Linked DNA regions of Schizosaccharomyces pombe. The gene in region 1 interacts genetically with each later gene. Each region holds a gene or a part of one and is shown on either strand. Other genes may lie near its edges.

What was found.
Region 2: of psm3 (region 1) and rad21, a mutation in one rescues a mutant of the other (synthetic rescue), as found in Schizosaccharomyces pombe (3 studies listed by BioGRID).
Region 3: of psm3 (region 1) and psc3, a mutation in one rescues a mutant of the other (synthetic rescue), as found in Schizosaccharomyces pombe (one study listed by BioGRID).
Region 4: of psm3 (region 1) and cut2, a mutation in one rescues a mutant of the other (synthetic rescue), as found in Schizosaccharomyces pombe (one study listed by BioGRID).

Annotation. Positions count from the first base shown.
Region 1 is NC_003424.3:1,218,772-1,227,603, reverse strand, and holds psm3 (mitotic/meiotic cohesin complex ATPase subunit Psm3/Smc3), read left to right. Parts: upstream 1-2,745; 5' UTR 2,746-2,767; coding exon 2,768-2,782; exon of another isoform or gene 2,783-2,825; coding exon 2,826-6,395; 3' UTR 6,396-6,635; downstream 6,636-8,832. Other genes in the region: autophagy-associated protein kinase activator Atg17, read left to right, coding at 1-188; rio1 (RIO family protein kinase), read right to left, coding at 325-1,565, 1,668-1,793, 1,879-2,005; Ino80 complex HMG box subunit Nht1, read left to right, coding at 6,807-6,849, 6,901-7,109, 7,164-7,937; protein mug94, read left to right, coding at 8,717-8,832.
Region 2 is NC_003421.2:1,339,041-1,347,431, forward strand, and holds rad21 (mitotic cohesin complex non-SMC subunit Rad21), read left to right. Parts: upstream 1-3,852; 5' UTR 3,853-4,051; coding exon 4,052-4,084; exon of another isoform or gene 4,085-4,164; coding exon 4,165-6,018; 3' UTR 6,019-6,353; downstream 6,354-8,391. Other genes in the region: SPOM_SPCC338.18 (uncharacterized protein), read right to left, coding at 2,229-2,582; F-box protein Pof3, read right to left, coding at 6,354-8,087. UniProt on the Schizosaccharomyces pombe protein: Cleavable component of the cohesin complex, involved in chromosome cohesion during cell cycle. The cohesin complex is required for the cohesion of sister chromatids after DNA replication.
Region 3 is NC_003424.3:2,034,377-2,043,548, forward strand, and holds psc3 (mitotic cohesin complex non-SMC subunit Psc3), read left to right. Parts: upstream 1-1,918; 5' UTR 1,919-2,026; coding exon 2,027-2,291; intron 2,292-2,336; coding exon 2,337-2,449; intron 2,450-2,487; coding exon 2,488-2,583; intron 2,584-2,631; coding exon 2,632-3,041; intron 3,042-3,091; coding exon 3,092-4,691; intron 4,692-4,739; coding exon 4,740-5,144; 3' UTR 5,145-5,238; coding exon of another isoform or gene 5,239-5,509; 3' UTR 5,510-5,555; coding exon of another isoform or gene 5,556-5,924; 3' UTR 5,925-5,972; coding exon of another isoform or gene 5,973-6,028; 3' UTR 6,029-6,168; downstream 6,169-9,172. Other genes in the region: WD repeat protein Cdt2, read right to left, coding at 1-1,274; SPOM_SPAC607.02C (uncharacterized protein), read right to left, coding at 5,239-5,509, 5,556-5,924, 5,973-6,028; U3 snoRNP-associated protein Snu13, read right to left, coding at 6,560-6,919, 7,070-7,087; arg82 (inositol polyphosphate kinase), read left to right, coding at 8,114-8,920.
Region 4 is NC_003423.3:2,201,026-2,207,166, reverse strand, and holds cut2 (securin cut2), read left to right. Parts: upstream 1-2,950; 5' UTR 2,951-2,960; coding exon 2,961-3,851; 3' UTR 3,852-4,167; downstream 4,168-6,141. Other genes in the region: TIM23 translocase complex subunit Tim44, read right to left, coding at 330-1,613; eno101 (enolase), read right to left, coding at 4,611-5,930. UniProt on the Schizosaccharomyces pombe protein: Regulatory protein, which plays a central role in chromosome stability. Probably acts by blocking the action of key proteins.

The DNA.
Region 1 (8,832 bases):
ATTTTTTCAATCAATATGGTGATTATTTACCCCAGACTCTATGGGGAGCTGTAACAGATCCTCCTTTACATTTTGAAATTATAGAGCACCAATATACAGAATTGCCAAACGTAAAGGTAATTCCTGATAAAAACGATAAGAAATCGAAGCAACGTGAAAAATCTTCTACTACAGCCTCTAAGCGATGACCCTGTTAGCCATATTTTACGATTTTTAAAGTCTATAAACGTATAATGATTTTAGTTATGCTACTAGTTTATGAGTATTGTATAGACTTTTCCAATAAAGATAATTATATAAAATAACCGTAATTTTTTCCCCTGATTACTTTTTTCTTCCAGATTGTTTTAGTTTGCGCTTCTTCTCATACTTCGGAATCTTGGATTTTCTTTTCTCAGCCTTATCTTCTTTGGTTTTTTTTTTCCGTGCCCTCTTCTCCTCCGGTGTCTCCTTTGCACGTCCGTTTCCTTTACCTTGTTTTGCAGATGATTTTGAATCCGAAGTCCGTTCTTCTTCATTTTCCATACTACTTATAGAATTTGCATCATCATCGCTCTCCGAAGTCTCATTTGGGAGGATTTGATCGTTTTGATTTTTTGTAGTGTCATTTAAATCCAATTTTTGAAAGTCTGTATTTAATAAGTGCTTATATACAAGGCTATTAACACCTCCGGCGTTTACGATTTCAGTATCTCGATCAATGTCGTATACCTCATCTAAAGTCCGAGGAACATAAGTTTTTAAGAATTCCTCTTCGTATTCTTCTGTAGTAGGTTCTTCCTCATAAATTGCATTTAACCGGGTTTTCATGGCTTCCTTTTCACAACTTCCTTCTTCAGTAATGAATTTAAATAATTGAGGTAAAGATAAGCAACCAGCATTCAAACGCCTAAAGAATGTAGAAATGTTTAAAATATCCATTCTTAAAAAATCGATGCTCTGCGGGTGGTCATGTTCAACCGATTGTGATACATCAATAAAATAAACTTTACCTTTATGATAAAGTAAATTATATTCTGACAAGTCAGCATGCACGAGATGACAAACATGAAACAAAATACGCATATTCCGTGCTACAAGCTGATATAATTTAGTAGCCTCACCAGGCGTCATATCTATATCCTTTAACTTGGGGTATGCCCATCCTTTCTTGTCCCCCAGAAACGACATAAGCAAAACGTGCTGCTTCAATAAGATTGGCTCTGGGCAAGGAATACCAGCAGCAGCCACACGCTTCAAGTTTCTTATTTCTTTTTCAGCCCATAAGCGTACCATTTTTCGGGGATTGCGCTTGTTATACCCATGACGAAAACGAAATTCTCCAGAAACATAGCGGTCACGATCCTTAAATACTAAGATTGAAGTCTTATAAATTTTTATAGCAAAATGTTTACCATCCTCGTTTGTTGCATGATACACATTTGCTTCCTTTCCCGTGCTTATACAACCATTAATTTCTGATATAGTTCCATTATTTATTAATTTTAATAAAATCATTCGAGTACGGGGATCCAGCACTTGTTCAGATGTAGCGCGGTCACTTTTATCCTTGATAGATGACTTGTCTTTATTTGTCAGTACTATTAAACATGAAAATGTAAAAGTGTGAAGGATCAAAAGACCTCGAGTTCTAAAACCTATGAGCAGTTAAACTATATTACACTTACCCTCTGCCTCAAACCTGTCATTTAATTTTATATTATTCACATAACGACTAAGCGTAGAAACGTGATCATTAACTGAATTGATCTTAGAAGAATTATTCCCAAAATTTTCCTGTCTAGCAGAATAATCTAGTAAAAATGTTATTAATGATCATGAAAAATGGTAACAAAAATTCATGCAAAGTGCTTTTGGCTATTCAGTATATGAACTTACTTGAAGAAGCTTGATTCCAGTCTATATCGTCTTCCCTAAAGTAATCATTGTCAGAGCCATCACTAAAGTCGCTATATTCTGATTCTTCTTCATTTGTCTGTGCATCGTTTTTTAACTCCTCAACCATCTTAAACTTTAAATAAATCAATAAAAGAATAATTTATTTAAAAATTTGACAAAGAACTGGATACAAATCCAAGTTTTTGTATTTTGTAGGTGGTAGTAAAAACTTTTTGTTGTAAATAAAACTGGTATATAAAAATGTAAGAAGTTAGCAAATTATGATTACCATAAGTTACAAGATGATTTTTGCAAACCAATGATTTTTTTTTTAATTTAGTGGATTATATTTTTTCCATTCTTCGATCAATAAAATATATATTACATTTCCAAAAGACATTTAATGTTAGTGTGAGCGGCTTTCCTCATTAAAGCTTGACAATAAAAAGTCAGATAGAAAAGAAACAATACATAAGCTCATATATGCATTTTTTTAAATTCATTACTGAAACGCTGACGCTCAAGAGCAGCTTGCTTATTTAACACTAATGCATACTTGGCATCTAAAAAATCACATACTCAATTAAGCTAGCGCGCTTTCTACCAATTTGATTGTGCATTCCCAGTAGTTTAATAAAGAAATATTATATTTGGAAATTGATGCGGCAGTAAAGAGAAAAGCAAACGATCTTCAGTTAATACAGTTTCATATAGAAAAAACATAACAAAATCAACATCAACAACTCAAAGAATTTCTCATCTTGGTTAGTATGAATGAATTATTATGTTGTAGATTCTTAGAACTCTGTTACCACAAAGATTGATACTTACACGCCATAAAGAAGACACGCGACGCGTAAATACTTTAACCCAAACCAACCACAAATCTATGTATATCACAAAAGTAAGTAAAGCATTATAGAACCCCAGTTAACTGATTTATTAAGATTGTTATTCAAGGGTTTAAATCTTATAAAGATTATACTGTAATAGAGCCTTTAAGCCCTCACCACAATGTAATTGTGGGACGAAATGGATCTGGTAAAAGCAATTTTTTTGCTGCAATTCGATTCGTATTAAGTGATGCGTATACACATTTAAGCCGTGAAGAAAGACAAGCTTTGCTGCATGAAGGCCCTGGTGCAACTGTCATGAGCGCATACGTTGAAGTTACGTTCGCTAATGCTGATAATCGATTTCCCACCGGTAAAAGCGAAGTTGTCTTGCGTCGTACAATTGGATTGAAAAAAGACGAATACTCTTTGGATAAGAAAACTGTAAGCAAGACAGAGGTTATTAATCTTCTCGAGTCTGCTGGGTTTTCAAGATCCAATCCTTACTACATTGTTCCTCAAGGAAGGGTCACATCCCTAACCAATGCAAAGGATTCAGAGCGTTTAGAACTTTTAAAAGAGGTTGCAGGTACTCAAATTTATGAGAACAGAAGAGCTGAATCCAATAAAATTATGGACGAGACAATTCAAAAATCGGAGAAAATTGATGAACTTTTGCAATACATTGAAGAACGGTTGCGTGAGTTAGAAGAGGAGAAAAACGATCTTGCAGTTTATCACAAAAAAGACAACGAAAGAAGATGCTTGGAATATGCTATTTATTCTCGCGAGCATGATGAGATTAACTCCGTATTGGATGCCTTAGAACAAGACCGGATAGCTGCACTTGAGCGTAATGATGATGATTCGGGTGCTTTCATTCAAAGAGAGGAACGCATTGAACGAATTAAGGCTGAAATTACAGAGCTCAACCACTCGCTTGAGCTTTTACGTGTTGAAAAACAGCAAAACGATGAGGATTATACCAATATTATGAAAAGTAAAGTCGCATTGGAATTACAGTCTTCTCAATTATCACGTCAAATTGAATTTTCGAAGAAAGATGAGAGCTCAAAGCTCAACATACTTTCTGAATTAGAGTCAAAAATCTCTGAGAAAGAAAATGAGCTTTCAGAAATTCTTCCAAAGTATAACGCTATAGTATCTGAAGCTGATGATCTTAATAAAAGAATCATGCTGCTCAAAAATCAGAAGCAATCACTTTTGGACAAGCAATCGAGGACTTCTCAATTCACTACCAAAAAAGAACGTGATGAATGGATCAGAAATCAGCTCTTACAGATCAACCGTAACATTAATTCTACAAAGGAGAACAGTGATTACTTGAAGACTGAGTATGACGAAATGGAAAATGAACTCAAAGCAAAATTATCTCGTAAAAAGGAAATTGAAATTTCCCTTGAATCTCAAGGTGATCGAATGTCGCAACTACTTGCTAACATTACTTCAATTAATGAAAGGAAAGAAAATTTGACGGACAAAAGGAAATCTCTGTGGAGAGAAGAAGCCAAACTTAAGTCGTCTATCGAAAATGTTAAGGACGATCTTTCTCGTTCTGAGAAGGCTTTGGGGACTACAATGGATCGGAATACAAGTAATGGTATTAGAGCTGTCAAAGACATTGCTGAACGTCTGAAACTCGAAGGTTACTATGGTCCACTTTGTGAGCTTTTCAAGGTTGATAACCGTTTCAAGGTCGCTGTTGAGGCTACTGCTGGGAACAGTCTATTTCATATCGTGGTAGATAACGATGAAACCGCAACTCAAATTCTTGACGTTATATATAAAGAAAATGCCGGTAGAGTTACGTTCATGCCTTTGAACAAGCTTCGTCCAAAGGCGGTTACTTATCCTGATGCCAGTGATGCTTTACCTTTAATTCAATATTTAGAGTTCGATCCCAAGTTTGATGCTGCGATTAAACAAGTTTTTTCGAAAACCATTGTTTGTCCATCGATTGAGACCGCCTCCCAGTATGCTCGATCTCATCAATTAAACGGTATTACTTTAAGTGGTGATCGATCTGACAAAAAAGGTGCATTAACTGCCGGGTATCGTGATTATAGAAATTCCAGGCTGGATGCTATCAAAAACGTTAAAACATACCAGATCAAATTCTCGGATTTACAAGAAAGTTTGGAGAAATGTCGTTCCGAAATTGAATCTTTTGACCAAAAAATTACTGCATGCTTAGATGATTTGCAAAAGGCTCAACTAAGTTTAAAGCAATTTGAAAGAGATCATATTCCTCTTAAAGATGAACTCGTAACTATTACTGGAGAAACAACAGATCTTCAAGAATCAATGCATCATAAAAGTCGTATGCTTGAGCTTGTTGTTTTGGAACTACATACACTTGAACAACAAGCTAATGACTTGAAATCTGAATTAAGTTCAGAAATGGATGAACTTGATCCCAAAGATGTGGAAGCACTAAAGTCTTTGAGTGGTCAAATTGAAAATCTCTCTCATGAGTTTGATGCCATCATTAAAGAACGAGCACATATAGAAGCAAGAAAGACGGCTCTTGAATATGAATTAAATACAAACTTATATTTAAGAAGGAATCCATTGAAAGCTGAAATTGGTTCTGATAACAGAATAGACGAATCAGAATTGAACAGCGTAAAGAGATCTCTACTTAAGTATGAAAACAAATTGCAAATTATTAAATCTTCATCTTCTGGGTTGGAGGAACAAATGCAAAGAATCAATTCTGAAATAAGCGATAAACGAAATGAATTGGAATCGCTAGAAGAATTGCAGCACGAAGTGGCTACCCGAATTGAACAAGATGCAAAAATTAACGAAAGAAACGCAGCAAAGAGAAGTTTGCTTCTCGCACGGAAAAAAGAATGTAACGAGAAAATTAAATCATTGGGGGTTTTGCCGGAAGAAGCATTTATTAAATATGTTTCAACTAGCTCAAATGCTATTGTGAAGAAACTTCATAAAATCAACGAAGCCCTTAAAGATTATGGAAGCGTTAATAAGAAAGCATATGAGCAATTTAATAATTTTACTAAACAACGCGATTCATTGTTGGCTAGGAGAGAAGAGTTGCGTCGTTCTCAGGAGTCAATTAGTGAGCTTACGACAGTACTTGACCAAAGAAAAGATGAAGCAATTGAGCGTACCTTTAAACAAGTTGCTAAAAGCTTTTCTGAAATATTCGTTAAACTTGTTCCGGCAGGTAGAGGTGAATTGGTTATGAATAGAAGAAGTGAATTGAGTCAAAGCATCGAACAAGACATCTCCATGGACATTGATACGCCATCCCAGAAAAGCTCGATCGACAATTATACAGGTATCAGCATAAGAGTTTCTTTTAACAGTAAGGATGATGAACAACTGAATATTAATCAATTGAGTGGCGGTCAGAAGTCACTTTGTGCTTTAACTTTAATTTTTGCTATCCAACGCTGTGATCCTGCGCCTTTTAATATACTCGATGAATGTGATGCTAATTTAGATGCACAATATCGCTCGGCCATTGCAGCGATGGTCAAAGAGATGTCAAAAACTAGTCAATTTATTTGCACTACTTTTCGGCCTGAGATGGTGAAAGTTGCGGACAATTTTTACGGAGTAATGTTTAATCACAAAGTTTCAACAGTTGAGTCGATTTCTAAGGAGGAGGCTATGGCATTCGTTGAAGGATAAAATGGTTATGGTTTGTTAATTTAAGTTCGCATTTTTCTTTTTAATTTCTTTGCGTGGACAAACCGATCTTTTTGCTATTAGTCATTCTTTCATTAATATCTCTGTTATTTAATTTTATCATACTTAATTTATAATTTTTATATTCATGATGCAATTGCGCTTGAATCAATCAGTGCGTATTACTACCAGAGTTGATACTTTCACATATAGTTTTTTTAAAGTTCTAATCCCAATGGAGAGTCATTTTAATAACTTTTTCCAGATTTCTATTTGTATTCAAAAAATCGAAAGCATGTCGTAGCGTTAAGACTTGTATAAATTCGCTATTTTAGACCTCCAGTCAGTGCTCTTAATTCGCGACAGTACTTACTACATTGTGCGAACAAGATCAAAGGCAGAGCATCTATATCCATGGAAAACCCTCCATACCATGTATCTATTTCCAAATCGGAAGGTGAATATTTTGAAGCTTGATTGATTTTTTCATTTACTAATGAATACTCAGAAATTAAATATCGCCAAAAGTGCAAGGATTTAAAGGCTAGAATTCAGGAGATCCAAAAAGGAAATCAGGAGTTATTAAGCAAATATGAGGTTATTCGAAGAGCTGTCAAGCGTGGCCGATTAGAAAGAGCTATCTTAATGGAACAGTTGGAATTGCAAAGTGAAGCAAAATCTCGCGAATTTGGACAGCGCTCTGAGCCATCTCCTCCTGTAAGTGTTTTTATAGAGTGAATTTATTGTAATACTTGTACTAATCATATGTAGCCTCCTCCCGAAGGTATTAAAATCAAAATATCAACGAAAGGCGCTGGAAACCCGTCTGCCAAGAAGTTAAAGATATCTACAGAAGAAACATCTGATACAAACGTAGCATTAAACAACACGTCGGAAATATCTCATAAATCATCAAATAATTCCCAGCCTAAAGATGCATCCGTCAATGACACAGATGCAGACTTTGAGCAGCAAAATCAAGTTGTTCAATCAAAAGATGAAAAAATTACGAATACTGATCCAATACCTTCTCCTATTATTACAAATCTTAAAACAGAAAGCTCAAAATCATCTGGAGCTAAAAAAGCTACTTCTAATGCCAAAATTACAGACACAATGTTATTCAACCATTTTTCGTCTATTCAAAAACCAAAATTAAAGGCCGAAGGCTCTACCTTGAAGGGACAAGCTTTGAAGAAAACTCTTGAAGATACATGGAATAATTTGACCGAAGAAGAGAAGAAACCTTATCATGAAGGATTGCTTGCAGCGCGTGAGAAGGCCAGAGAAGCAAGACGTCGACGAAGTGCGCAAAATTCAGCAAAACTAGAGAAAGAGAAAGCTAAAGAAAAGCAAAAGGATAAAGATCAAGAACAAGACACTGTTAGTGATAAAAATCAGATAGATGAGATAGAAAAAGGGCAGAAGGAAGTAGATGAAGAACCTGTTTCTGAACCCACCACTTCGCCTATTTTACCTCCAAAAAATCAAGAGCCAATTCGTATGGGAGGATTCACCGTTGTTAATAGATCCTCTAATGCTTAAAAAGAGCTTTCTGATGCAGGCATCAGATCAATGAGGCAATGCTTAAACTTTGTGTCTCAATATTAAAGGTTGGATTAGAAACTAATAGTTTGTCCACAATATATTTTCCTCCTCCTTGCCATTTGCAAAACTTTTTCAAGGTTCCGTTTTCTCTTCACATTATTTACTACCATTTATTCTTTTTTTTTGACTTAAAGTCATAAGATTATCAAAGCAAAAATTTTGAAAGACAATTAAGCGAATGTGTGATTTGAAAGTGGAATTAAGGCAATTACCAGCTGGTTTGTGATTAAACAATGACAACACGAGTTCGATTAATAAGTGTTTAATTTTTTTTTCTTTTTTTTCCAACTTTTTTTTGAAATACTGATTTGGAAAAGAGATTCGTGGTAACGACGAATGATTGTATTTTTTATCAGGGAGAAACTTTTTGCGATTATTTGAATATTTCTCTTCATTCTTTGATAATCTTTAATGATAAACTGTTGTATTTTTTATATATTTCTAACCCCAAGTCCTTTCTTATTTGCTGATTTGGTGTTTATAGAAGCCATCACTGTACGCTTGTTACTATGTTTACATTCACCGGAGTCCAAAATGTAAACACCATGGGTATTGTTTATGTTTACACTCCCTTTTTCTCCAAACATATTAATGATTTTGTGAACAGTTGTGTTTTCGTATTTTAGTGAAATTGCATATTACAAAATATCAAAACAGAAAAAAGAAAAAGCCAATATTAAGCGTGTATATTTTGTGAAACGTGAATAAAAAGAGCAATGGATTTCAACAAAATTGGTGACGAAAATGTCGTTTTCCAAATCTTTAAATTGGAGATGCTAATAATGTCGGAATTTCCTAGCTTTATCGAAGAAAAAGATAAACTTTTATGTCT
Region 2 (8,391 bases), on another chromosome or scaffold:
GCACTCGATTCATAAGCCCGTGTTTTTGGATCCAAAGCTGAACGAAGCTTCGATGCAAGGCCACCCAAAGGCTCCTTCATCAACTCTTCAATTACACATCTCTGTGACTTCATGTTAAGCATTAGTCCTGGATACGTTGGTGAAATATTGCAGTACTGCCGTACATCAACAGCACGACAAAGTGTGGATGTGGCTGTAGGGTTCAATCGAGAAATGCAGCAGCGAATAATGGCTTACCAGACGAATGTGGTAAGGGAATCGTCGGTGGATATATATTCTGAGGCAAACGACGAGGGGAGAGTTTTTGTAGCCAGTGTTTTAAGAGCGGTGAGTGAGTTATGGTCGAAGCAAAAGTAACTCCAAATACATTTAGGAGGAGGAGGATGTGATTTATCAACGCTTTCAAGTTCGGAATAAAAAGGAGGTGACTTCAAAATGAAATGATCCATCTCAGAACCTGGTTCGTAAGAGTCTTCGAGTAAAGGGATAAGGTTGTAACGGGGAAGGTTACCATCGCTAGTAAATGGTTCATTGCAACAAGCTTTAGAAAAGAGGTTGATAACCTAACCTTGGCCGGTCATATCCATTGCATTGTGCTGACCGACAAACGTAAGCACGAGACCACCAGTGATGAAACTGGCTTGGACAAGGAAAACTGGATCTGAGCCTAACGTTTGTTCATCAGGATCTCCTGGAATCGTTTTGCGAGGTGCGAAAATACTTTCGTTCAGCATACTGAAAGGAAAATCGGCTTTTCTGAGCGCGTCCATGGAGGGTATAGAAGGGACATGCTGAAGATCTTTGACAAAGAAAGGAGGCGTTTTCTCATACGGTTTAATCTTGAATATATTAAAGCTTTTTCCTTCTGAACTTTCGTGAACAACCTGACCAGCTAGCCACGGAAAACTGGCTGACAGACGCTCAAGTCCATTTGTCAGCGTCTCAATAATTGCTGAATGTGAGGAATCATCATCGACTATTGGAAAACAAAAGGATATCTGGGTATAGATTTTAAGTGATAATTGCTGTGCTAAAACATCCGCGAAATCATAGTTGTTTCATCCATGATATTGGTTGCACTAATATGTAGTGGGCTGATATAGCGTACATGGGTATGGTATGGGTACGACTCTCTGTAGCAGGCTCAATTAAGCAGCTTGCTTAAGAAAAGGAACTGTAGGGTTTCTCAATACATTTTGCCAACTGAAGGACCATGTAGCATTGAGTATTTTTTGTAGGTTACAAGGTAATCGCGGCAATGTGAGTTACGTGTTGAAAGAATTTTGGAGTCGAACTCAAGTCCAGCAGAAATGTCTATTTTTATACATATTGGCTCAACCTCCATCTACACTCATATGTTAAAATGGTTAAACATATAACGCACTCAAGCACATTAGAATCCATCAAAAAAACAATCAAGGGTTACAAGATGAACGTTTATGGCTTAAAAAAAACCATCTCTGCATCTAACTGCATCAAGAATTCTTAACCCAAATAATGTACGTCGAGCTATTAGTAAAAGCCTGTTTTTGTTTATAGTCTTAATGTTTAACTAAAAAAGCTGGGTCTCTAGGGAAAAGTATACTATTAAAATCAGCAAATACGGTATATTTTAGATTTATAGTCATGATTATTCAATAATTCGTTCAATATAAAAGGCATAACAAAGAGTAATAGGCACTGCTAATAATTGTGCATTTTTTGAAATAGTCAGAATCCTCTGGAGAATAAAGTGCTATCTTCTTATCAGATGAAGATAAACTCACTTAGGCCTATCAAGCAAAACGTAACTTTAGTAACAAAAGGAGCTTGAAGATCTTAAAGATAATTTGTATTAAATCATAATTGCTAAATAAATTAATAAAAGGGAATATGTGGTATTGGAGTTTCGCCCGTAATTTTGGCAGTTAAAAAATGGCGACACGGTTAAAACAAGTAGGTAAGGGTGGGTAAGTAGTTTTGAAGATGGAAAGAATATTGAAAGGTTGCAACAGGTTAGGCTGTAATTTAAACAAGTAAAAAATCACTTTTTATTATATTCACAGTTTTTTGACTTTTTTTTTTTATTTTCCAGTCGTTATACAAGGATCGTCGTAAACTAAGATACAACAGGGTAAGTTACTCATCGCTTTCAGGTAAACAAGAACACTGTCTTTTTATGATGATTCATTTTGAATTCGGACACAAAAAGCAGAAACGGGAGACCCAAAGAAATCAAGCTTTTCGTACTACTTCAAACCGGAGGAATTAAGTCTTAAACGGTTCAATAATGCATTTAATATGGGCAGAAGCACATAACGATATCCCACACTAGGAAAGCCCAAAGCAAGGCTAATTAATCCAAGCAACGAACCAAACGTCAAACTAAACATCAACGAGAATAAAAGTACAATTAGGCTAAATTTAAGAAATACACTTTGATGTTTAAACCATTGATAGCCCTCTTTGGATACCTCTTCAATAGACGAGTAGCTATAGCGCGACATAAGACTAGGACGACCATCATTTTCTAGATGTGGAGATTGCCCAATTGGAGATTCATCCTTCAATTCTCTTTTGATATCGATATTCTGTTCAGTCATTTTGTTTTGTGGCAATTTAGTTTAATATTCAATGTGTTCCAAAAGAAAAATAAACGTTAATAAAGGTAACTGTTGTATTATTAGACAATAGTCCTTAGCAATCTATTTAAATGTAACAATTGCTTTAGTAATTTATACTTTTTCTCTTTTAAAGTCAGTGAACCGTTGTTGGGAAAAGTCAAGAATCAAGGTTAGAAACATATACGTATTCATTTTATTTACGCCTTCCCCCACATTGGATATTGCCAACAATGAACAATGACATTAAACTTCTGCAGAGGCGAAAATAATGCTATACATTCATTTTATTTATTAAAATGATTTATGAGCGAATTGCCTTCTTCCAACAGTCAAACTCGAATTCCCCTTCACTAAAACATACGGGAACTGTTTTGCGCAGTGTCCACTATTGGGAAATGGAAAAATCGAATTTGCTAGACGAATATGGATGGAATTCTTGTCTATTCCTTTTTCTATTTTTTGTTTGATTTTTTAAATAAATTAGCTTGTTTATCGAATTTATCTGGATGGGGTTTATCGTTAAAAAAAAACACCCTACCCAAAAAAAAAAAATTTATTTATTTTTATAAGTATTTTTATTCATTAACCTTCTTCTGGCATACGAGTCACAATCAACCTTTTAATTTTGACAATAATATAATAGAAATAAAATAAATTTTCAGTCGTGGTAATTTCTATTACATATTCGTTTAATGTAATGTGTTTTGACATTACTAAAATGGGATGAAAACATCCTTTTACGAGTCTATTTAATCATACAGAAAAAATGGCATTGAAGATGCAATTAATGAATGGAATTCATTTGATAAATGTATTCAATGGAAGGATAATGCTTCCAAAATAAGGATGGTCAAAATTTAACTCAAGATTGTTAAAACAAGGTTGTAATCGGAGTTTTCCGTTTTATTGAAAAACATATCCCCTTATGTCTTATGACTATTTTAATTGAATAACATAATTCAAATGCCTTTTGTTGCCTTCTATGCACATATGTGAACGTAAATCTAGCGCATCATTTTATAATACAGTTAGTAGGCCGAAACATACAAGCATATAACAAAGATAAATCAACTTCTTCGAGGAAGCATATTCCCTTGATCATGCTCAACAGTTTCTAACTTCAATACAAGCTTTTTTTATTCATTTATTTAACTATTTGTTGCTACACATACTAGTTTGTTTATGTATCATATTCATTGTCGGCATGGCAACGTGGATTTATTTACGCGCAGCGCGTACTCATTTAACCAGCACCACGTATATTCATTTTTACAAATACCCAGCTTATATCGTAGTGAGGAGGCGAATTTTGCGAAAGAAAGCATTTCTTTCATTTTAATATTTATTAATTTTTTGTTTATTTTTGTTCTTTTTTGATTCCCCTCTTTTTTTTGTCTTTACTCTTTAATTTCTTTCTATCTTTTTCTCCTAATCATATTAAGCTTCTTATGTTCTATTCAGAGGCCATTCTTTCAAAAAAGGTATGTAGTTTATAAGTTTTCTTTAGCGCGTAAACAGTGCTAATTTGTCTTTGAATCGTCTGACTAACTGTTCGCGTTAGGGTCCTTTGGCCAAGGTATGGTTGGCAGCTCACTGGGAAAAGAAACTTTCCAAAGTGCAAACTTTGCACACCAGTATTGAGCAAAGCGTCCATGCAATTGTCACGGAGGAAACCGCTCCAATGGCCCTTCGCCTATCAGGACAACTAATGTTGGGTGTTGTTCGCATTTATTCCAGAAAGGCTAGGTATTTATTGGAGGATTGTACGGAAGCGTTGATGCGTTTGAAAATGTCCTTTCAACCGGGTCAGGTTGATATGATTGAACCAGCTACTGCTCTCCAATCTTTAAAAGGTAAAGATGCTGTGACACAGAGCGCTAATCTCACTCTTCCTGAGACAATTACAGAGTTTGATCTTTTGGTACCTGATAGTACATTTGATTTTCAATGGTCTCAACTTCTTCGTACACCCTCTCGTTCTTCGAACACTCTTGAACTACATTCTTTACCAATATCTTCCTCTCCTTCTTTTCCATCTTCCCAGCTATCAATTGAGGCTGGACGAAATGCCCAAGTAGAATCAGGGTTTTCCTTGGGCGAATCATTCGCACATGTTGGCAATGATATGCAGTTTCATCTTCCCATTTCAAATTCCGGTGCTGCTACACCTAGAAGTGTGCACTCTGATAATCAGTCCCAAATTTCTATAGAAGTAGGTAGAGATGCTCCTGCTGCTGCTGCCACCGATTTAAGTGGAATTATTGGGCCTCAAATGACTAAGTCGCCGGCTAGTTCAGTCACTCATTTTAGTACGCCAAGCATGCTACCAATAGGAGGAACTTCATTGGATGATGAATTGTTGGCTCCTGTTGATGATTTAAACCTGGATTTGGGCTTAGATGATCTTTTAGGAGATGAACAAGGTGCTAATGCTCCGGCGATAGAGGCTGATGAACAAGCTGAAACATCAAGTATTCATCTCCCTTCTGACATTATGGAAGATGATTCATCTCGTCCTGCAGCAGCAGGAGTAGAGGAAGGTCAGGTTGTTGAAAGCGCCACTGCTCCTCAACAGGAAAAGATCAATCCACAGAAAACTGTACGTCGTCAACGTGCAATTATTGATCCCGTTACTGAATTGTCCTCCAAGCAAATGAAAAAACAATTGGCAGATACATCTTCCATCACCTCACCGTTATGCTTGAATACATCTTCCATCGTGTTTAATGCCACCGTTAATTTTACTCGAAACGGTAAATTTAATACTTCCATATTTTCTTCCAACCTGAACCCTAAAGTAAACGAGCTTTTGCAAGCTGATTTCAAACAGGCAATTCTAAGAAAGAGAAAAAATGAGAGCCCAGAGGAAGTCGAGCCTGCCAAGCACCAACGTACTGATACCTCAACTGAAAACCAAGAAACTGCTGAAGTCTTGGACCCTGAAGAAATTGCAGCCGCTGAGCTTGCCAACATTACTGAAGCCGCTATCGCTACTTTACCACAAGAAACCGTTGTTCAACCAGAAGGAGAAGCTCCTGAGCTTGGTTCGCCAATGGGATTTCCTGTTACTGCCTTGGAATCAGCCGATGATTCACTTTTTGACGCTCCTCCCGTAATGCTGGACGAGGCCGATTTGCTGGGAAGCGAACGATTGGACTCTTCGGTATCTGAGGCCCTTCCTAGTTCACAAACAGCCAAAGATTCTCTACGCAATAAGTGGGATCCTTATACTGAAGGTGAAAAAGTATCCTTCCAAACTCTTAGTGCGGGATGCAATAGAGAGGAAGCTGTTCAACTTTTCTTTGATGTCCTCGTTTTAGCGACGAAGGATGTTATATCTGTCAAGCAGGATGTTGCCATTCAGAACGAAATCACGCTTACTGCTAAACGTGGAATGCTACTTTCATCACTATGAGAGGTCGGTTAATATTTTTTCAAAATCCAATTAGATCTATAAATAAGTGTGAATACTTACACGAAATAGATTTTTATGACAGTAATATTGTTCATTGCTTTCTTTTATCTTTATTTTATTTTTGGAATCACGAGTTGTATGTCTTTCTTTTTCCGAGTTACGATATTACTGTTGGATGTATGTAATATTATCAGCTCAACACAAAGTTATGATTAGAAATAGCTTACGCGCTTTTTAATTTATTCTCAATGATTGATCTATCTCTTAAAAATCTTCCTTTCAATGCGATGATACGGGTTTACTAGGATTGAATATATAAAGACAATATGATCATATTATATTAGGCGTATCTTTTTTGTACCCAATGGTTGAGAATTTGGAAGCGAGGAAGCTACGGTAACTTGCATACCTTTGGAGCGCGCCCAATCTATTGCATCTCTAGAAACAGAATCACAATTAATAATATCTATACGTTTTAATTCTTTCAGTCCTCGTAAAACTGCTATAAATCCCGATCCATCGAGGGATATTGAATTTGAAAAGTTCACATACTTTAGATTTGGACAACAATCAGTAATGTGTATTGCATGCTTATTTTGAAGAGCAACGTTATCAGGAATCTCAAGATGCTCAAGTTCCGGTAAAGATGCAAATATTTCAAAGAAATGGGGGGCCAATGCTAGCGAATCGTGTAGAACCAGCTTTTTTAGTTTGTAACAAGAAGTCAAAAATTTGACAACATTATCGATATCATTTTGAGATAAACGAAGATAAAGAAATAACTCTAAGTTGATTAGTGATTCCATCCGGACATTTGTAGGGAATAAATATGGACATAAAATTGTAGATGCAGGATTGCAGGGTTTCACAATTAACGTGGTAAGAGATTGAGGAAGGAATGCTAGATCTTTAACAGTATTCGATACTCCTTCATCAATGATAATTAACGATCGGAGATTAATTTTATATTTTTTTATTGCAGCAACTAGGTCTGACTGATATGAGGCTTCCAGATATTCTAAATATGGACTGGCAGACAGCAAGTCTTTAAGAAATTGCTGTTCTTTATGGTGAAAGGGAAACTTTTGATTTCGGATAAACGTCAAAGATTTAAGAGCCAGCGGTACAGATTCTGCATTAAAGAGTTTATCCCAATCCATAGAATCAAATATCAAATCGGGAATTAAGTCAACAAGCTCAACCTGCTTGAGTTTCTTACAGCAAGATAAAATCTTAGAAGCTATGGAAAATGTTATAGGAGTAGCACAATAAAAGTAGTGAAGTTCAGAAAATGGCGTCCAAATTGTATACAATTTATCCGTTGACTGAGTGTGGAGAGGTGAAATGGTTTTGTAGACTTTAAGTGATTTGACTGAACGAAGTAAGGCTTTGGTAGGTGTTAATATACCAAGCTTCTCTAAGCCAATTACTTCCTGTATATTGTCTTTTGAATAAACAGAGTATCGAGCAACAGCCATAACGTTTCGATCTCTAGAGTTTACACTTCGAGGAGAGGCGCATGAAAAGTCTAAGCAACAAAATAAGCTAGGTTCTTTCTTAATACAGTCTCTCCAGTGTTTGCAGACTTGCATACACTGAACAATACTTTTGAAATTTAGTTGCTGTAGAATACATAATAGGACTTCTCGGGGAAGAATGCGAAACAAATCTAGTACCGGCCTGGTCCGAAGAATTCTTTCATTCAATCTTTGGCTTACTTTTTTTAATACCGGTCTCAAGGGATCCATTTTATGCACCATTCGCAGGCCTTGCGTATACAATTGATCTGCTTTCTTATCAAAGCCGTCAAGCTGTAAAAGTTTTCCCAAGCGTAGGTAACCTCTAGCATTTCTTGCATTCAAATGAATCATCCGTTTAGCATCAAGTTCTGCTTGTGAGTATTGACCTGACTTTTCGTAAACTTGAGCCCTTAGTTCAAACAAGTCAATCGTAGGATTGGGCTCCTGTTCGATGGTTTTAGTAATGAATGTCAATGCATCTTCAAACTTCCTTTTAGAGAGATATTGCTGGGTCTTCTCCTTTATTGCTTTTACTTGATAGTTATTCATGAATCCAAATCTTAATTTCTATACCCAACGATTTATTTTTTCTATACATAAACATAAACCTCCCATATAGCTTCCAATGAACCGTATTTTAAGAACCTCGATATCCTTTTTGAGGTATATATTATGCTTTCGTAGTCGCAAGCTTTATGGAGTAAGTTAGAATTGTTAAAGGATAGTTAAAGCTAGCGCCTTCAAATTTCATTTAAACAGAAATTGAATGTGCAAAAATACTAATAATAAGCATGTAACCAAAAGTTTGGAAAAAAAAGTATCTACTTATTTGTTATGCTTTTCATATGTTAAA
Region 3 (9,172 bases), 810 kb from region 1:
TTTCTTGTTGTGTCAAAAACAACAACACCACTAGTCTTGTCTTGAACGCCTCCACCGCAGGCTAAAGTTGCTCCGTCAGGACTGCACGCCAACTTTACGTAGAATGAAGAAATTCTGAGTCTAGGGTCTTTGTAAGTCTTGCAAAATCCGGAGTTTAAGTGACGAGATGAATATTCATAAATGATACTATCTCTGGAAGCAGCATAAATACGCTCACCGTCAGGAGAAGTACAAACATTAGTAACACCAAAATCGCGTTTTGAAGTAGTTAATTCGGGAGTAGTAGCAGCAGGTAAAGGTCGGACGGTATGTACAGTTCGTAAATCCCATAACTTTAAGGCCGAGTTTGCAGAGCAGGACGATATAACTTGCGAAGTAGATTGAGGGAGCCACGTAGCTGAGGTAATTGAGCAATCCCTTCCCGAATTTTCATGTGCTTTTCTTATCCTTAACACTGGTTTCTGAAAATGCTCACCGTCAATTGTTATCCCGTGTGTTCGCATATCCCAAAAGATAATGGAACCATCCCGAGAACAACTTACCAAATTATAAGGAGAATCATTGCAAAAATTAACCTGCTTTACTGAATGAGAGTGGTATCCATCGACACCTCGTCGTCCCAATCGAGTGATGCATTGTTGCGTTGACAAATCAAATACCTTTGATGTTTGATCGCCAGATGAAGTAGCTAATAATGAATCATCTTTAGAGAAATTAACACTAAATATAGCATTGTTGTGAGCAAGCCAGCCATGGATTCTTCGAGCAGACGGCTGATTTTCCTCATTCTGTCTATCGTAAAATCGAGAATCAAACAGCTCAAGAGCTCCAGTCTCAGTACATACGGCCAATAAAGACTCGTTATTAGCAAATCCAAGACAGAACGGGAGTTGGTTCAGCATCATTAAGCATTCCGAAGGTCGTGAGTAATATGTTTCGAGATTGAGTCTACCTCCCACATGACGAGAAGTTTTTGTGCTAAAAGGGTGCGACCGGGAACCTCCCAGTTGTCTGATTAAAAGTTCTTTACAAAGTTGAGCAGGTTTTTTTTGAATATGAACTGGCTTGTGTAACAGGGGTTTCTTTTCAAACACAATGCGTTTTCGAGGTGTTTCAATTTTTCCTCGGCTTTCTAGGAAGTCGTAAAGCTTATGTTTTTTGGAAGGTGCTGCGGGAGAAGAATCAGGAGTCGGAGGTAATGAGTTATTTGCACGTGAGGTAATATCTCGAAGCCCACCAACATCACTCAAAGCTTTTCCAATGTCCATATTCATGGTATAATCATGAATCTTAATTTAATCCGCTTTTGAGGTCGTGTGTTCCAGTTTAATTTAAGTAGTGGATGGTAGCGTGAGTATATTAGATTTTCGTGACGCGTGAACGCGACGCGTCCGTGATCCATCACATGCACCAAACGTTACCCAGAATATGTTAAAGTAACAAAACGCGTATTTCAAAGTCATGTTTAAGCATATTTGCAATTACAGATGGGTACAGCCTAAAATTCTTGAGGAATAAATAAAAAGGATAAAAGTTTTCTAATTACTTGTTAATTTTTCATAAAGGATGACTTTCGTATTTCTGCCTATGATATAATGAGCGCTCGAAAAGTTGTCAAATATCTCATTTATTAATAATAATCGAAAATATTACGCGTCAAAAGAATCTTTCACTCACAATTCTATACTTGTATAGTCAAATTACAATCTCAACTCGCGGAGTGAATATAAGTTAGCTGTTCACCTTGCAGGACCCAAAAGAAAATAGTATATATTTGTTTCAATCAAGGTAAAGAAAATTTTAATGTAATAACTTCGTTAAGTATAAATTTCCTTTCGTATCCTTGGATTTTCAAACACATTTATCCTGTCTAACACTATTGAACAAGACAAGTTCGTGCTTTTATCAACTACAGGTTGTGAACAACCTCCATTGTACAACACCAATAGTGCATTCATTACACTCTTTCCAATATTTCTAATTACACCTCTTAATTTATTTATAAATTATTTCTTTTTTTCTTCAAATGAGTGAGTCTGTTACTACTGGATCTGATGATGATGGAGGAGACAGAGAATCTTCCCCTGTAATGCTTTCTCAAAGTTTTGATCCCATGAGCAGTAGTTCAAATTCATCTTCTGAAGAAAATAGCGATGATGATTACGAGAAAACGATAAGCTCAAAAAAACGGCATCCACGGCCAAATTCTAAAGGAGTAAATGTAAAACGCTCTAGGAGGAACGCTATAGTTGAAGAGGATCCTCAAGAAGAAATTTTTAACAACTTATTTGGTAATGATAAAGTCCTTCTTTTTTTCAGCTACTAACACTGAAAAGCTTTTCTGCTTGACCAAAAAGTTGATACCATGGACATCGCGGTTTCGTGGTTTGCTGACTATGCAAAAGATAATCAATCTGCCCTTGCAAATCTTATTAACTTTATTTTAAAGGTAGAGTCATTCTTTTCTTTCTTTACTAAATATTTTAGTGCTGTGGTTGCAATCGTGCCATTAATGTGTTTGATGTTCAGGATCAAGATTCTGCTTCAGCTACTCTATCTCAAATTCAACTTTCTGTAGAGCGTGTAAGTGCTTTTGCGAAAATACTTTATTTGTATATTAACAACTTTAAGACTTCTACTCGTGATTATCCTTTAAATTCAAAAAATCTTAAGTTTAGGAATTTCAGAAAGAGATTGACCGGTCTTTTAAGCAACTTTGTGTCACAGTTGTCAATAAGAAATTACTTGTACAATAGCACTGTTTTTGAAGATATTATGTCTTGGGTCGTTGCCATGTCTTCTTCTACGATGAGACCTATTCGGCACACCGCCACTGTTTTCTGTTTGAATATTATGACTTTTTTATGTGAAAAATCTAAAGAACTATTGAACGAGCATGCAATTGCTACCAAACAGCTCGAGAAAGAAGAAAAGCGCTCTCGTGTAAATAGAAATCGCATCAACGAACTTAATAACAGTCTTGGTGAAATAGTCAAGCAACAAGATACATTGACTACATACTTAAATGACTACTTTGATAGGTAAAGATCCCTCAAACGCTTTAATTTATTTATACTAACCTTTATATTAGTGTCTTCGTCCATCGATATCGAGACGTGGAGCCTAAAATAAGGGTAGATTGCTTACAAGAGCTTGGGGTCTGGATTAATACTGTTCCAAGCATATTTTTTTCAGGAAGTTATTTAAGATACCTAGGATGGATGCTTTCAGACATAAACACTACCGTCAGATTAACTGTAGTTAAAGTTTTGCGCAAATTTTTTGAGACAGATTCATTTATTGGTGGATTAAGACATTTTTCTTCTAGATTTAAAGAAAGAATACTCGAGATGAGTTGTGTGGACGCCGATATTGGAGTTCGTGTAGCCAGCATTCGTTTGTGTAACGCTATGAGGACTTGCGGATTTTTAGAAAATTCTGAAATTTTAAAAGTGCTGAAGCTAATTTTAGATATCAATCCAAGGGTGCAACGTGAAGCCGTACTGTTTTTATGCAAAGTGGTTGACGAAAGTGTGAATGAAAAAATTGATTTATGGGGTGAAGAAGACTATATTCTAAAGGCCTTTTCTCAGACTTCACTTACTACATTTTCAGTTCATTGGATAAAATTTTCCCAAATGTGTAAACTTTTGGAGGAGGTTAGATTGTCTTACCAATCGAGCTTTGATTATGATACATTATTACGAATCTTCCAAAAAAATGGTAATTTCATTACTCCTATAACACAAGCTTTACTTAATGCATGTGAAATTGATTCAATCTATCAGTCATGGGAGGATATTAGCAACTTCGTACTTTTTGATAATTATACCTCGACTCTAAAAGATCCGATAGACAGTATACTTTCTTTCTGCAAGCTAAATGATTTTCAGGAATCTATTCTTTTACAGCTTCTCTCTGCTTCAATCCAAACTGTCTGTAATAACAATTTTATCACACCTAAAACGGTGCATAATAAGCAAGCGGCGGAAACGACCAACGATCAAAATAAAGATAAGGACTTACTTTATTTGAATCTTCTTCCTTACATTAATTCAATAACTGAGAGAAATTCTGCTTCACCAACACTTCTTCATGATTCTCTTCGTTTGTTATTCTCAATGGATTTGACAGAAATGACAGACCCTCAACTTTCCAGACATTTTGAACTTCTAATTAATAATTTAAAAAAATTTTTCCTAACCAATAATGATCTTCAAATTATTCAAGGTTGCACGATATTATTTTTACGGTTGGACTCTATTCCTGCTTTGAAAGAAGATTTGAAGCTTCTGGTTACTGACATTTGCGACCAGACGGTAACCGAATTTTTAAAGAATTTTGGATCTTTTAATATTCAAGATGCTGTAATAACAAAAGATGAATTTGTTATTTTTGAAGCTTGTTTAACAAGAATCGAGGGATGTACCTCTCTCAAAGATTTTTCTGACTATCCTGAGTTTGACATAATATATGAAAGGCTTGTTTCGCTTCTTTCGCGGGTTCCTAATAGCTATGAAGATACATTGAAGTTTTCTGCAATTAATACTTTACAGAGTCTATTGTTTTGGTTCTTTCTAAGGAAGGATAACCCTGCTGATGAGGAAAAAAAGAAGGATGATGAGACTAAAGTTTTTAATTGTTTGATTAATATTATGAATAATGACAGCTCTAAAATTTTGCAACTTCAGGTATACAAAATCAACTTATTATTTGATTTAAGAAACTAACTTGACCAGGCAGCCCGAACTTTTCTGGAAACAGTGATAATGAAAGAAGGTGTTAAAGCATCACATTACAACGATGACAATCGTGTATCTGAGGAGCATAACTTTTTAAAACCTCAATTTTTAGATGCTCTTTTAAAAATACTTGAGGGATGGTTATACACATATGCCAAAGTTGGTCAATTCCCCTTCAAGCGTTTGACTCAAGCAAGTTCTCCACATACACAAATTTCTTTGGACAAAAATCCACTTAATAGAAGGCTATTGGAACATGTATGTTGCGATTTGACTAGTAAATTATTAATAGTTGTTTCATTGTCAAATACGATAACACCAGAATTTTCACAACAGTTTTGTGAACTAAGAGGGCACTATGGACCGAAATTATCTGCTATTGTGGATGAGTTTTTGAATTAATTAAATTTAGATTTAATGCCTGCTGTATATTTAAAGTAATTAATTATTTTTAAGTCAGCATTAGAAATAAATTCTTTTTTCATTATTAAAAAGATTATTTCCGCTTGGTTTTCATTAATTCTCTATATTTCTCTATAAGTTCCAAACGCTGCTTTCCTAGAGCTTGGCGTCGTGCCATAGATTCTGTTTGACCCATATTATTAACTTTGGGAACATTTTCCAAGTACTTTGTCTCTTTAATTTTTAATTCCGGAAGTTCAGGAGGAGCTTGCACAGTTTCTCCAAAGGAAGGTTTTGTTTGTAAATTAGCCCACGGATCAGGCGAATTTTTTCGTTTTTTTCTAGACTCAATTTGGATAAATTGTCTAATATGTTAGTTTATACGAAATGAAATTGGTGATATACACATACCCAGTAGTATCCGCCTCCCATGTTTTATCTTCAAAATTTTCCTCAATTTCATTCCAGTCTCTTTCACGCTTCTCTTTTCTTTTCGCTATTTTTTTCTTTTCTTTTTTATCAGTAAATTCGTCTATTTTGCTCGGCCCAGACTTAAAAGATACTGGAATAGCCTTATTTACGCGCTGACTAAATTCACTAAGGCGTTCACCGGGTAATCTTTGAATTTTCCCATAATCTTTTTTTTTCTTATTTTTAAGGTTGCCTTTCTTTATTTCCTTCTTTTTAGATTCATGGTACTCTTTTTGCTGTAGCAATCGCTTGAATTGCTTTGGGAAGTTGTCATCTACACTTTCATCCTCCTTGGGAGCATGATCGAGTCTATTAACCAAATGTTAGTAAAAACATCTTGCTATAGAAATTTTTTACCCAATCTTTTTCCGTTCAGCCTCAAGAACGGACCTTTTCTTAGTCTTAGTAGGCATATTGCGCTTGGATAGTAAACACAAACGAGAAGCAAGTAATAAAGGAAAATAGCGAGCCTAGCTCGTATCGCAATTTAGATAAATTTGGATTTGTTTTAATAGATACTCATGGGATAACAGTAAAGTTTATTAATGAATACAAATATCTTTTTTTATTTTAGTGGACAAGCTGTAACGCTTTAGAGAGAAAAAATTTCAGAATCAAGTTGGAAGCAAGCTTAGTGAAGATACTTTTCGAATCATACACGAAAAATATATTAAAAAATATATATATCAAACACCAAATATACACTATCTTTATTAAAATCGTAATGCTCTTATATGTAAACACTCAACTATCTTTCTTGTTGAGTATTTTGCGAGCTAATTAATAAAAATTAAAATGACTACAAACAGAGTACTTGAAATTATATAGAAAGCGAAACAGTACAAAATTACAATAACAAAATAAAAAATTCGATAACAATCTGCTTCCATAAGAATCAAATTTTATTCTCGATTAAAAGAAAACTGTTCCCAAAATCCAAAAGTTTAGATGAGCAATTTCTCTATTGCCAATTTAATAGCTTGAATTTGAGGAAGTAAATCACTAGCCTCATTGGTAGTAATGCTGGCTGAAATCACCGGTCTACTTACACCACAAGCACGTCCCAAAGCAGCCTTGCTAGGAACAAAAACATAAGGCACATTCTTGTCCTCACAAAGCAATGGCAGATGCAATAAAATCTCTATGGGCTCGGTATCAGCCGCCATTACTATAAATTCACTAATACCACGGTTCAAGGTTTTGGTAGCCTCATTTGCACCTTTGCGAAGCTGCTTGTAATGAGAGGCCTGTTGTACCAAGTCGAGAATTTGTTGGGTTAAGCCAGAATCGGCTAAAGGAAAGGCCTAACAATGTTAGTATGCAATAAAACGAATATAAATTTCGGAAAAGTTCATTTTCCGTAATAAAATTGCCGACGAAACTAGCATTTGAAACTAGCATGCTTTCAGCTATTTCGTAGCCAAAGAAGAAGTCTTATACCATTATTAACATACCTTTGGGTTAACTGACATTTTTTCGGGTTCCTTGCTGTAAAAAGTAGTATCTGACCTACAATGGTGGTTGCTCGCCCTTGCTAAGAAATTTTCTTTAGTAAACTTCACTTTAGCTGTAGTCCAAAAGTACAAGTAACAACATCAACGTTAGTCGATCCTTCGATCAATGTAACTTGGAAAATTAATCCAAATTTGCTTAAATTTGGAATTCTAAGAAATTTATGCACATTAATAATCTTAATTGTTTCTTGGCATTACACTATGAATATGGAGGACTCAAAACTATAAATCAGATTGGTGAGTTTATTTCTATTGAGCAGGCATTCTTCAATTGGACATTGTTTACCATATTTAACAGAATATAATAACATTAAAAAAAGTTGGAACTGCATATCTGATTGAGAGCTGTATTGTTATATAGTCTATGGACTTAGCAAAAAAGAAGTTGCTAATAATCTACTATTTAACTTTTAAATTTTAGCAAAGTACATATAATTTGTCCTAAAAAAAAAAAAAAAAAAAAAAAAAAAAAAAAAGCCCTGGTACATACTATTGAAAGTGTGTAAATTGTAATTTAGCTAAAATATTTTCCCTTAGTGGTTTGGAATATAGGTTTTTAATAATATTATAATTTATAAAAACTTTGCAAAACACTTTCTAAATAATATCCAAAAAAGTTTATACTTTCTGTTAAATTCATACTTCGATCTCCAGGCTACAACTTTATCTACTGTAAAAAAAGCTGAATAAATTAACAGCGAGTACATACACATTTGGATATGTGTTTAGGAAATTCATTGTTTTATATTATTAGATAAAATTTTACACTTATTTATTCAGCTCATATAACCTGCATGTTCGTGCAAGCAGTGGAAGTGGTTGATATAGCTCTACACTATTTCAATTCATTCTACATTCCGCTTACCCAACAGCTGTCACATCGAAAATAACGCTTCAGCATATTGCTAAACGCGTATTGCAATTTTCAAGAAATATACTTTTGACGAAAAAACATGTACTAGCGGATTTTTTCTTTAACTCTTGATGAAACTAAAACTGTTTCCATTTCAAGCTGCTGGTCATGGCCAAGTACTAGTCAGTGAGGATGATAAAATTCTAATTAAGCCATGCATTAAAAGTGAAGTTGATTTTTATAAAACATGTAACGACAATATTACGCTCTACAACTGGATTCCTAAGAATTTCGGTGAGTGGATGCCTTCTAGTAGAGACATTGAGGGTATCAACCCGATCGCAGAAAGTGTTGCTTTTTCCTTAACTGGAAAAGCTATAATCTTAGAAAATATTCTGTATCAGATGGAAACTCCTTGTGTCATGGATATCAAATTAGGAAAACAGTTGTGGGCCGATGACGCTCCTCTTGAAAAACGAAAAAGATTAGATGCCGTTTCCAGAAGTACGACGAGTGGTAGTCTTGGATTTCGTATAACTGGTATATTGTCGTGGGACAGAACAAACAATACGTACATTAAACGATCAACAGCTTGGGGTAAAACCCTTACGGATTCAGATGTCGTAGAAGGCTTAAATGATTTTTTTGTCTCTTGCTCTCTTTCTCAAAAAGCAAGGTTGGTTGAAAGCTTCCTTAATTTATTGAAATTATTTGAAGTTGATCTTTCTGAGTCTTATATTGAATTAAAATCTTCTAGTATTCTTTTCGTTTATGATTACTCTTCCCTAAATCCAACGTATCATTGTGAAAGCAATGTAGTTCTCAAGCTGATAGATTTGGCACATTCTAGATGGACGAAAAACACTATAGACCATAACACATTAATTGGGGTTAAAAACTTAATTCACTGTTTTGCGATGCTCCTGAAGAATGAATAATTGAATACTGACATGATAAATTCCTTTAAAAGAAAAGTAATTTTTTTAATCATTGCTGGTTAAAGCTAATTAATTTATCTGTATAGTATTCCACTATAACTATTATAAAAATGATACCTTATTTATTTTTTTGAGTGATCGTGAAGTATTGATTTGTTATAGAAAAGAAAATAATTTTTATTCTTCGTTTATTTTATGAAAATTTTCAGAAAGGTTATCTACCCTTTTTATTTTTGGTAAGATAAAGATCTT
Region 4 (6,141 bases), on another chromosome or scaffold:
GACAAACGAAAAATGTGATAAAAAAAAGAATGACAAGCTTAGACTTGTCATCAAAAAGAAACAAAAAAAAAAAGAAGATCGATCATTAGGGAATATCAGCGGTCTTCTTAAGTAGATGATGGTGGACATAGTCCAGGAAATCCAAGAGTTATTTCCAAACTTGACAAAACTTTTGAAATATTAAATAGTAATTAATCATATGAGTGACAGAGAAATATAACCCAAACGAAATATGCTATGCAGGAAGAAAAAATCTGATTCCAAAAAAAATGTTTACATGTTAAAATTAGAAGCCGATAGAAAGACAAATGTTTGGAATATTTTCGCATTTAGAAATAATCAACGGCTCGTGCACGTGCGAAATCAACGATACGCCAACCTCTTGTCTCCGGATTATCAAGCTCGTCTTCTACACGTGTAAAGACAGAAGCATAAGTACATTGTTGAATACGATCATCCTTTCCTGCAACTAATTCGCCACTGCTAGCATCTTTAAACATATGGACCTCTTGAGTACGAAAAGTGACGATAAAAACGGGAATATCATTTGGCTGTAAAAGTCTTTGAGACATGATGTCGACGCCACGAATGTCAAGGATTTTACCAACACTAACAACTCCATGTTTCGCATATTCCTTGGTAGTAGTTTCATATACGGAAAAGGGGGCTTCCGAAAGCCAAGTCTTCAACACTTCTTTGTCTCCTTTAACATATGCCTCGGTAACTTCCGGGACAATATATTCTCTTAAATATTGAAGGAAATGCTCGGTATTAAAGGATGGGTCAATCTCTTTAAAGCGTCGCATAACCTGCGATGCTTCAGTTTCTGAAAACATTCGAGACCAAACGCCACTAATACTGTCGGCCATGTCACGAATGGAGGAGACAATAGGATGTTCAGACTCCTGATAACTTTTTTTAAGCTCTTGAATTTTACGAACTAAACGCGATTCGTTTTTTATTTGCTCAACCTTATTCTTCCACGACGGGTTGCTATGTACGACGACGCTTTGGACGTCTTCGTTAGGCTGAATCCTTGCCGAGCTAGCAAACATTCTGTTTCGACGTTCAAATTCTTCACGCAATTTTTTACGTTGTTCCTTGTCAGCATAAAATCCATAACGTGAAGAGGTGCTACCATCAGACATTGTTTGCTTAATTGTTTTATAAAATGCAGTTTCACGTACGGGTTTTGTGGCAGTGTCAACACCAGTAGCTACAGTATTAGCGGTGCTTGAAATGACCTTTTTTGATAATTGTACAGGAGCACTTTCCCAAGCTTTTTGGGCATATGAGCCAATCTTGGCACCAGCTTTGCCAACAGTTTTTCCTGTGAAAGATGAAGCTGCAGTAGTTCCCGAGCGCGCTTTTTCGTAAGCATCTCTCGCTTTTTTGAAAGTGTCGCTTTCACTTAATGATCCTGAACTATCTTGCAATGCTTTGACACTGTCCTGTAATTCCTGGCTCTTCTTTAATTCTGCTCTAAATGTATCCATGAACACCTTGATTGGCGATTGAGGTGCTGCATTTTGAGAGAATATAGACGTTTGGAAAAACCGCTGGCATTGAACTATTGTGCGGGCATTTTTTGTGATTTTTCTTGATAGAAACATTTTCTTTCCTATTGAATAAATAAATCTCAACGCTATTACGCGAAAATTAATCCACTTTGCTGCCTTTTATTGCAAACCGATATAGCAGCCTAGTGAGTGGTGGATGGAAGGTTCAAGTGCCACAAAGGTGGAAAGATACCTTAATCCTAAATATCGAGAAGTAGTCTTTTGTTAACAAAAGTTAGCATATTCTCTTATATTTGGACTTTTTTACTTTACTAAGAGGAGTTTACGATTAGAATTTTTACGAATTCGCTCATTTTATCTGAAATGCAACTATTAAAATATTGATATAGAGGGAAGCATAAATTACGCATGATCCTAATATATTAAAGAATAAGAGTACCGATCAATTTCCTTTCGTATTGGTTGAAACAGTCGTAGCTGTTGCTTACAATATTGTTGGGAATCGATACCATGTGGGTGGTAAGAGATCGTATGAAGTTATGAAAAAAAGTATTCAATAAGCAGCATAGATATATTACAATGCGTTATATAGAACTGGATAATTTGAGTATGTAGCGGGTTTTGGAGATAAAAGCAATAGTATTAATTAGCATTTTGAAGTTTCGTTTATTCATTTGTAGAGATTTTTCAAATCTAGAAAAATTTAAAGATCTCTTAATTTTGTATCTTTTTTTTTTTTTTTATCAGTTTGATAGAATGTTTGTATGTAATTCTTTCTAATAACATGCGACGTTTGTTGTGCCCCTAAGTTTCTTTGATGAAATTTATTTGAAAATAAGGAAGTAGCTGGTTTATACAGAATTCAAAAGGCGCATTTAAGTTGTAGTAAACCTCGAATTTTTCTGATGATTAATGTGTTTCATGATTTTTTATGAAAACAGTTGTTGAAGCTCCTATATTATTTATCACAGGTTGTAAATTTTCAGCTTCAATAACGAAATGGGATACTTAAAGTCATAACTGATCAATTTTGGCAGACAGATCTAGCTTTAAAAGCTTAGATTCATTCAACATCAAGTTTATACGAAATGATCAGTTGTAATACACTTCCAACTTTTCTGATAATGATTCAGAATGATTACAACATAGTATAGTTGGAATGTAAAATTATTTGTTTCATGAAGAACTGGTTTTCCATCTTGAACACTAGACGATAAAAGCAACCTGAATATCATAAATCATCTTCAATCCAATTAAGCAATTCAAAAACAAAACAAAACAATTTATTATGCATTTGTAAAAGTAAAAATTTAAAAGGTGATCATATTTCTTCAAATTATCGCTTTGTTTACTATTTTAAATTGTGCAGGTCACAATTGAATGTCACCTGTGAAATAATAAACCAGCCTTGGACTATAGACAACGATGTTGCCAAGAACCATGTTTTCATATGGAAAAGAAAACGCTTTTCCTGTAACTCCCATATCAAACAGAAATGGTACAAAAGGAGCGGGCTCCAAAAGAGCACCATTGGGGTCTACAAAGCAGTCGAATGCACCTTCTTCTGTAACGGTTCCTAGAACGGTACTGGGAGGTAAGAGTACTAACATTTCCAAATTTATTTCTGCTCCCAGTACAAAGAAAATGTCTCCTATGGATATTTCGATGGATTCCCCTACTATTTTGGAGCCAAACTCACAAGGAATTTCCCGATCAGCCGTACAAGAGCGGTCGAAGCGACTTTCGGCTAGCCCTCGTCGTTCCTCTTTAACAGACACTCCTTTACCAAATGAACTTGAAGAAGATATCGAATATATGCCTCCTCCTGTTCATTTGGACCCCATTCAATCCCTGGGGTTTGACGACGTTGCAATTGATTGTGAAACGCTCGATCCTTGGCCTAGCATGCAGAATAAGGCTACCTCAGTAACTATTCGTAATACACCTGCATCAGATTTCCATGTTTACAAGGAGTTCAGTGATGATGATCCTATACAATTTCCTCTGCTCAGCGTAGACGGTGACTCCCCGTTAACAGAAAAGGATACTAACCTGACAACACCCGCTACCTTGAAAGCTTCTGATCAACAAAGAAAGGTTCTCGAAAAGCCTTCTGTCAGCAAACAATCCTCTTCCAGAACACGACTCAGTACCGTTTATCGCACCAAGCTGGCATCTGGTAAATCCATCCCTCGACCCTTATCTCATAAACTCACACGACCCCGAGTAACTGCATCTGGCAATAGCCGTCGGCGCCCTTTATCTCGTTCTATTCATTCGTTATCATCTTCACGAATTGATTTTTCATCTTTGGATACAGGATTGTTATAAAAAGATTCCGAATTTTCAGGTTTTGTGCGTACTGGCTTCCGCTTCTACGATTGTAAGTATGATTCTTCCGATGGCTTTGATTTCCCTTGTTGTTTAATTTGTTTCACCACTTTAATGCTGTTCTTTTTTTTTTTTTTTTTACTTAAATGCATAAAGCCTATACGGTCCTTAATTTATGACATGTTTTTCGTTCATGACTTTTCTGTACAAATGATTTCCTTTTCTATATGCTTTTTTTTTTTTGGCTTTTCTGGTTCAATATTTTACTATTGTAATGTAGATGAATTATGTTAATAATATTGTTATTTTCATTCTACGTTGATGAATATTATAAATACTAGTAGGTAAGATGCTGAGGAATAGAACATTTTCCAGTGTTAGTAGTAGTAAAGTGACTGATAAAGAGCAAAGGTATCCAAAAATTTTGGCTACACATAAAAATATGTACTAGGTCAAAGACAAATTTCTGTGTTTTACAGCAGATGCACACATTCCAAAAAAAATTAAGATGATTGAAAAAAAAACACTATATAAACGAAAACTAAAATGATCATCTAAAAAAAAAAAGGATGCAAATTAGCACAAAACAATTATATCAGCTACTTCTACTACAACAACAGTTTACTTTAATACTAATAATAAATAAACACGCAACCTGGCAAATTAATCCAAAACGCAAAAAGGATAAAAATTTCATTGCATTCTATAAAAATAAACATGTATTGTAAACATTAGTAAAATTTAATGTATGCTCAGAGTTTAAAACTTAGCAGCCTTGATGTACTTGCCAGCATGGGCACCAGCGTAAACACCCTCGGAACCGAGTTCCTCCTCGATACGGAGAAGCTCGTTGTACTTGGCCAAACGCTCGGAACGGCAAGGAGCACCAGACTTAAGTTGACCGGCACCAATACCAACAGTCAAGTGGGAGATGAAGGTGTCAGCGGTCTCACCGGAACGGTGAGAAACCATAACACCCCAACCAGCCTCGTAGGACATGCGGACGGCGTTCAAAGACTCGGTGACGGAACCGATTTGGTTGACCTTCAAAAGAAGAGCGTTAGCGCACTTCTTGTCGATGGCGGTACGAAGACGCTTGACGTTGGTAACAGTCAAATCGTCACCGACAATTTGGAAGTCGGTCTCAGCCTTCATGTGAGTCCAGGCAGACCAGTCATCTTGGTCGAAGGGGTCCTCAATGGAGACAATGGGGTACTTCTTGGAGAGCTCGACGTAAAGGTCGGTAAGTTGTTGGTAGGTAAGCTTGTTCTCGGGCTTGGGCTTGGCGGCCTTGATGTCAAGGTCGTACTTGCCGTCAACGTAGAACTCGGAGGAGGCAACATCAAGACCAATCTTGATCTTACCCTCGTAACCAGCCTTGTTGATGGCCTCAACAATAAGGTCAAGAGCCTCTTGAGGGGTTTGCAAATCGGGAGCAATACCACCCTCATCACCGACATTGCCGGCAGAAGAACCATAACGCTTCTTGGCAATGGACTTGAGAGTGTGGTAGGTCTCAGCACCCCAACGCATAGCCTCGGAGAAAGAGGGAGCACCGGTGGGGAGGATCATGAATTCTTGGAAAGCCAAGTCACCACCAGCGTGGGAACCACCGTTCAAGACGTTGAAAGAGGGAACGGGGAGGACATAGGGACCCTTGGTGCCAAAGTTCTCGGCAATGTACTTCCAGAGAGGGAGCTTCTTTTGGGCAGCACCGGCACGGCAGATAGCCATGGAGACACCCAAGATGGCGTTAGCACCCAACTTGGACTTGTTCTCAGTACCGTCGAGCTTAAGCAAGAACTCGTCGGCGGCCTTTTGGTCGGTAACGTCAAGGTTGGCCTTAACGACGGCAGGGGCAATGATGTTGTTGACATTGCCAACAGCCTTCAAAACACCCTTACCACCCCACTTGGTCTTGTCACCATCACGCATCTCAAGAGCCTCCCATATACCAGTGGAGGCACCAGAGGGGACGATAGCACGGTGGATACCGGTCTCGGTGGTGAGGTCGACCTCGACAGTGGGGTTACCACGAGAGTCGTAGATTTGACGAGCAAAGACTTTCTGAATGGCCATGATTAACGATGTTTACTGTAGAATACTAATTGATTCTTACTGAAACAAGTCCTAACGGACGGCCCTTCCACTCTATATATACCTGGAGGAAGCGCCGATCCTCTCAATCTTCCATGACATGCCCCTGAGCCCACAGAAGCCGGTGGAACAAATTGGTCGCTTCTTTAAGAATCGTTAACCGGAACGTTAGGGTACGTTGAAGGAGCGACCA